Arabidopsis thaliana: one gene and its partner. The protein of the gene in region 1 interacts with the protein of each later gene in a pairwise test. Each region holds a gene or a part of one and is shown in the gene's direction. Other genes may lie near its edges.

Region 1 (3,639 bases):
TCTCGAATATCTCAAACCCTAAAGACCATTAAACATCATCGCTCTCTTATCACTTTCGCATTCATCATCAACTCGTCATCATATGTATGTTTTCATTCACATGGAGTTAGTCCAGAATAATAGACTGCATGCCGTTTAACGGTCTAAACAAAGACAACTTGTAGTAACGTGTTTTCTTACAAAATGACATAGCAAAATTAGCATGCATGGCTCAGGAGTTATCACATATCGTTAAAACATTTTGGGTTTGCTTTTAGCGATTGCCATTTGTCGAGTGTCTCAAAAGATTCTTGTGGCCCGTATAATGGGCTTTAGAATATCGTTCTATAAGCCCATCAAATTAATGAACTGAGTATTATTTCCGGGAAAGAAATAACGTTTTATGCAATTACGACCCAATTAACTTTATAGTTTTTTAAAACTGATGGGGAATGACCCAATTCAATGTTTTCACCCTCTCAATTGCAGCCATTAGTTAATACTGTAGTAATGTTTAGAAACTAGTTTCAAAATTTTCGTAGAAAAATTCATGTAATATTTTTAAAAATCATTCGATGTGCTGCATGCGTATTTCCCAAAAATTAAAGTTAATATGATTTAAGATTTTGTTCACAATTACTGCCACCAGAAAAAGGACGGTGAGATTAATATTTTACAGGTGAAAAGATTTTTCCAAGACAAGGTTTAATTTGACCATGCGGACCAATTTACTTACAAGGTGTCATGGTTTACAAAAGCCCGTTAAATGAGTAAATCCTGATCTGTTTGCCACGCTGGCAAAACCTCTCGCAGAGGCCCCACCAAATACTATAAATCATTAAATCTCGTTTAAGGCCCAAAAAATGATGCAGAGTTGCGATCGTAGAGAGTAGAGAACAGGGAAGGACGAGCGGTTATGTTAATCATGACGTCATCCTCTACGATTCTCACCGGAGATATAGATGAAGAACACCGCACGTCGTCAATGGCAGAGGAAGACACGCCTACGCATTCCCATCGACGGCGCTGGAGCACTCCTGTTGATTCCGGCGGCGAACCTCTTCAAAGCTTATCCGTGAGCAGATCTCTAGAGATAAAATCAGACCACGAGAATCCCGACGACGAGTGCAGGGAACATAGAGGTGTGTGTGGAGTTATTCTTGACGAATATTTCTCGTGTTCTTCGAAAAATAACAGTTACAGTTTCTATCTAGGAGGGAAGATATCGCCGTGGGGACCGTATGGACCGCCGCTGCTGACGGAGTCGAGATCAAAGGCGCCGTCGCCGCGGAGAGGAAGAAGCGTGACGAGGAAGCGAGATCTGCCACCATTTTTGACGACACTGGATTGTAACGGACGGCCGAGATTTCATCACAGGAGAGTGAGAAGCGAAGGACGGTTAGAGATTGCCAGCGTGGCAGTAGATTCACCGGAGATCGTTAGTGTTCGTGGGAGAGAAGGACTAAGAATCGGAACAGTGAGAATCAGTCAACAAAACGACGTAGTAGAAGATGATAATGAAGATAAACAGAATCACTGATCTTCCTCTTAGAATTTTGATATTTTCAGCTAATTTTCCGGGGGGAAAAAACGACATTGTAGTCCGATGATCCGTTAGAAACAAGATAAGAAAAGGGAATTATGGGCTTTACTTATGAATATTAGGCCCATAATAATATTTTGTTGCAAAACAAACCTGGGCCTGAAGCCCAAATAATTCGCTCAAGCCGACGTGTTAATTTATGATTTGTCCGTCACAGTGATACATTAAAGCACAGGCTGTGCGGTTATCACACTGTTCGCAGGAAGACTTATTTGAGAGAGTTTTACTTTTGGGGGACACAAAGATTTGGAGAAAAAGTTTACTAAAAAAGAATCTGGGGAAGTAAGTGAGATGAAGGAAGAGGAGGAGATCGGAAAACCAGCGAAACCAAAAGCCAAGGTAGTCCCACAATGACTTACATATATTTCGCTTTCCATTTTCTAGGTTCCGTTCTTTGCGTTTTTCTTCTCTTTATTGTGTTAGATGCGAACCTTCTTATAATTCCGGTCAAAGTGCATGCGTTTTTCGTGTTCTTACTGTCTTTGGAGATCTCAGATCCCGTATTAGTAGTTACTATTGATGGAGGAAGTTATACAAGGCATAGAATTCTAGGTTATCAGTTTTGGGGTTCACGATTTTTTGGTGCTTGGAAGTAAATTGTTGGTAGTTAACTTTGAAATCTTTGGTCTTGCAAACTTTGAGTCAGTCTCGTGATGTGTCGTTGCTTTCAGTTATTGCTCTAAGAAAGCCTTGGTTCTTTTCTTTAACGCTTGCTGGAGTAGTGTCGCTCCTTATTCTTGCCTTACATTATATATTTCTTCTACGCTCACAAGTCTTGTGTGGGGTTGTTTCACTGAGACTTAATGGCAGAAAGATGTTGCTCCTGGGAGGTTGATTGATACCTATGCTGCACAGTGCGATAACTGTCACAAGTGGAGGGTGATTGATAGCCAGGAGGAATATGAAGATATCAGAAGTAAAATGCTCGAGGATCCTTTTAACTGTCAGAAGAAACAGGGCATGTCTTGTGAAGAGCCTGCTGATATTGACTACGATTCTTCTCGGACTTGGGTCATTGACAAGCCTGGTCTCCCCAAAACGCCTAAAGGTTTCAAGAGAAGCTTAGTTCTCAGAAAAGATTACTCTAAGATGGATACCTACTACTTTACTCCTACCGGGAAGAAGCTCAGGAGTCGCAATGAAATCGCTGCCTTCGTTGAAGCCAATCCGGAATTCAGGAACGCACCACTTGGAGACTTCAATTTCACTGTCCCCAAGGTCATGGAAGATACTGTTCCCCCTGATCCGAAGCTTGGCTCTCCTTTTCCAAGCACTACTACCACTACTTCAGAGAAGAGCAGTGTCAAGCAGAGCCATAACTAATATGTTCTCTTCTACCTTCTTTCTGCTCCCTAAAGCAATGCGTTTTGAGTCTTTATAGATTTGATGTTCTCTAAAACTGTTATGATATTAACATCTCTAAGCAAAAAAATATGATCTTTTGTCTCTTCTTTAACCGGAACTCAAATGTTAAATATTCTTTTAATTTGGATTCTTACACCAAAGAAACACACTTATTCCTTACAAGTCCCCTCGTAAAACATTAAGTAGAGGCTACAACTCCGGGAATTCTCTCATGGCAAATCCTCATGCACCTTATAGTGAGCGGTTCCTCTTGAAGAATACTGCACGATGTCTCACAGACTTCCTCGTTGGACATGAAGCATCCGGATATGCATTTTTTATAGGCCTCCGGTTCGGTGTAAGACAGGCATTTTCTGTTGCATTTTGTCTGCAAACCCTCATTAGCAACACCTTCTCCTCCTATGACCATCATCTCTGGTTTGGACTTGGTGCGAGGGCAAACGGCCATGCAATGTTGAAAGAGTCCTTCAAAGGGGTTGCAAAATGCCTCACAGAAGGGATTGTGTTCTTCTTCTTGTCGTCCACTTGTCTCTTTCTCTATCTCCATCATCAACAGTTCATTGCACTTATCTTCACACTCTTTCTTCTTGTTGTGGATATCATGTTTACAGTTGTGCTTGCACTGTTCCACCACCAAATCTTCTACTGCACTTGACACTGTTGCACTTTCCAACACCAGAATAGCCCAAATC
Region 2 (3,716 bases), about 15 Mb from region 1:
AAAAATGATTTATGTATTTGGCTTAAGTTCAATATTGTTTTTTAGGCAAAACTTAATGTTCAATATATATTCATGGAATTAACTCCATAATAAACAGTAACTGAATTCTCTTGTACTTTCTTAAATGGTTTTCAGTAAAAAGGTTTAGTTTAACCAACAAATAACTTTAGCAATCATCTATATAAGCATAAAGCATCACATAGATCTAGTAGTTATGTTTCTATAATACATTTTCACTAAGACTAAAACATGCATGAACACACAAACAGGAAAAAACTATTCTCAAGAAGTTTGTTTCCCACCATGTTAAGTGATTCTAGAAATCTGTAAATGGTTAACCTTTAGTATTCATTCGTGCAATATTTAACAGACAAATGGTATTCATTCGTGCATCTCTCAGTTTGTGAGAAAATACATTGCATGAGTTCGTTATTAACTGGAAATAATACATAAAACTCTGACAATCAGAACCTCTAAATTATTTACTTATAAGAAGAGAGGCAACGTATCTTGCATCGCTTTTACTTATCTAATCTTTTGGTGATGGAAGGGGCAAGAACATAGAAGGAATCTTTATCTTAAAAGAAGAGAAAACAAATAATATCCAAAATTGGTAAATCCATTGAATAAAGCCTAACGTTAACATCAAATCGCATGCGGATTAGAAGCTAAATGCACATAGTTAAGCGTAATCTATGGGGAGAAATTAATTACCACTTTTTGGTTCATTCTTTTAAGTTTTATGATTCAATGAATACATAGCACGTGGAACCTCTCTCCCCCACAACCCATTTTGAAGGGAAATGAATAATTAAAAGAGACATACACATAAGAAAGCACATGGCTTTACCATTCCTCTATCAATTACCAACACATTTGACCCTTATCCACATGGGTCTTCGTCTCCTATTATAAAATCAAAATCTACACACAAAATGTTATAACATTTTCCAACTCACAATATACAAAATGCCACGCATAAATATGTCTTCGCAAGACAAATATGTAACGTTTAATATTCGATATTATCTGAGATTTAACCATAAAACTAATATTTCTTTATTAATCAAATTACATCTACGAGCAAAAATGATAAAATTCAACTTATGCACATTCAATAGTTCGTAACACATAAGAGTACTTGGAAACTCTAAATAATCTTCATTTTGGAATCAGGATTCAATAAAATAGTACTTTATTTGACATAAGTGTCCTTTTAACCATTTTTTACACCATACGTTTTTTCTTCTGAATCGAAATTTTTACATCATACTTTCAAAACATCTATTAATCTTTTAAGTTAAAAATTAATAAATCAATAGAAGTAAACTAAAAATAATAATCAACTTTCACATCAAATTTTAAGACAACACATTATATTTAAATATATATTAAGAATATCTATTATGCAACAAATGGATTAACAATCATTAGCACTTGATATTTTCTTTATAACCTGCACTATACACTTTCAAAAAGAGAAGAAGAAACCTTTAAGAAACAGTAAATAAATGTTATTATAATACACCTCTTTAGTCTTTACTTTATTTATATTTTCTCTGTTTGCTTTTATTCCGGGTCGGCCGATAGAATTCTCATCATTTCATTCATTTTTATATTCTTTCGTTATAATTATTATACATCCTTTGAAAGAAAAAGAAGAGGCAATAGAGATGGACGGCTAAGATGTTAACGTAAACAAAGTTGGCGGAGGGAAAAGAGGAGCGTGGAATAATTAAACAAAAGAGTCGTGTCCACATGGGCGGCCTCAAGCTTCGTGTCCCACTTTTGTCCCCTTGCCTCTTTCTTGCCTTTCATGCTTCCGACAACACTTCTCTCTCTTCCTTTAACCCTAACTTCGATGCTCCTTTATATATATCTCTCTCCCCTTTTCTCCAAAACTCATCAACCAGCTCACCAAGAACAAGAACAAGAAGAAGAAGAACAAGACAAGAAGAACAAAGTACCCAAGAAAACACACAAGAAGGAAACACAAAGATTGATATTGATCCAAAAGCAATGGCGTACGAGAAAGTCAACGAGCTTAACCTTAAGGACACAGAGCTATGTCTTGGATTACCCGGAAGAACAGAGAAGATCAAAGAAGAACAAGAGGTTTCTTGCGTTAAAAGTAACAACAAGCGTCTATTTGAGGAAACTCGTGATGAAGAAGAATCTACACCTCCTACCAAGTAAGTAGAAGAGATCTGAGTTTCAAATTGGCTTCTTTCAAATTATTGGCTCTTGAATAGTTTTACTAATCTTTCTTTCCTCAAATTTACAGAACTCAAATCGTTGGTTGGCCACCAGTGAGATCTTCCCGTAAGAACAACAACAGTGTGAGCTACGTGAAAGTGAGTATGGACGGAGCTCCTTACCTTCGCAAGATCGATCTCAAGACATACAAAAACTACCCCGAGCTTCTCAAAGCGTTAGAGAATATGTTCAAAGTCATGATTGGTGAATATTGTGAGAGAGAAGGATACAAAGGATCTGGATTTGTACCAACATACGAAGATAAAGATGGTGACTGGATGTTGGTTGGTGATGTTCCATGGGACATGTTCTCTTCTTCTTGTAAGAGACTCAGAATCATGAAGGGATCCGACGCTCCTGCTCTAGACTCTTCCTTATGATCCAGAGAAGCTGAGAATCTTTTGTCTAAAAAGGAGATGATGACTATGATCGATGAATGAAAAACCCTTTTTGGTTTGATTCGGATCGGAGTTTGACTAAAGTTGACCGTGAAAGACGAAACTTCGGGGTTTTGTCCGACGAGAGATCCATCTCTAGTGATGTTCTTTTTGTTTTTGTATTTAGATTTGAAGTTTGATGTAAAGATACATGAGATTTTATGTATAATACGGACACATACACAATCTATAGATGTATAATGTATTAAGTAGTTATGTCCTATAAGATCATCAGTTTTCTGTTCTTGATCACGAACATAATATTTTAAATTTCAGAAACTTATACACATTTGTTTAGCCAAGGTTATTTATTAACTTTTTTTTTTGTTTAAAGTTTAACCAAGGTTATTATTTACTTATTCAGCAAAACATTTACCACCACATGAGACAAATTTTCTATAATGCCTTCCCAAAACACATCCACAATTCTATAGATAGGCCTTGTCGATCAAAAGATTTCAAAAACAATTTTTCTTTTTGATGAATTGTAAATGACTCTGTCTCTTCAGCTTATTAGATGTTTTAGCTAAACTGCAAGAATTATTATGTAATAATTTTGTTATATTAAAAACAGAAATTAATATCTAACCTAAACAATTCAACCAATTGTAAAAAAATATTACATAATAATATAAGTCTGATAACATATGAAATTGAAAAACACAATTTAATATAATAAAACTGAGAAAATAATATTAGTTTTTCTAGGGTAAAGGTTATTAATATTACATAAAAACATAATAATATTAATAAAACACAATTTAAGATTATAGATTTTTAGACTACAAAAGGGCTCATGGGAAGTTCTCGAACCGGAACTGAACCAAAATACCGAACGCCAATGACTAGTTTTCAAGTATGTTTTTTTCATTATGTGAACCAAGTAATAAAAAATCATTTCTCTTCTAATAGGGTTCTTATGTGCATATGATCAAGGTTTTGGGATTATTTGGAAATCAAATATATAAAGAGTTGTTTTCTATAAATAAATAAAACTTCAGGAGTTTACAGCTTTTTATTTCC

Evidence for each region. The genes of interacting proteins can lie anywhere in the genome.
Region 2: the proteins of MBD4 (region 1) and IAA2 interact in binary tests that used the Arabidopsis thaliana proteins (3 or more experiments, as listed by UniProt).

What each region holds. Positions count from the first base shown.
Region 1 is NC_003074.8:23,293,521-23,297,159, forward strand, and holds MBD4 (methyl-CPG-binding domain 4), read left to right. Parts: upstream 1-1,764; 5' UTR 1,765-1,873; coding exon 1,874-1,921; intron 1,922-2,392; coding exon 2,393-2,905; 3' UTR 2,906-3,106; downstream 3,107-3,639. Other genes in the region: AT3G63020 (hypothetical protein (DUF3049)), read left to right, coding at 905-1,519; AT3G63040 (uncharacterized protein), read right to left, coding at 3,126-3,639. UniProt on the Arabidopsis thaliana protein: Transcriptional regulator that binds CpG, CpNpN and CpNpG (N is A, T, or C) islands in promoters regardless the DNA methylation status. Plays probably a role in gene silencing.
Region 2 is NC_003074.8:8,179,989-8,183,704, reverse strand, and holds IAA2 (indole-3-acetic acid inducible 2), read left to right. Parts: upstream 1-1,609; 5' UTR 1,610-1,758; coding exon 1,759-2,192; intron 2,193-2,284; coding exon 2,285-2,636; 3' UTR 2,637-3,059; downstream 3,060-3,716. UniProt on the Arabidopsis thaliana protein: Aux/IAA proteins are short-lived transcriptional factors that function as repressors of early auxin response genes at low auxin concentrations.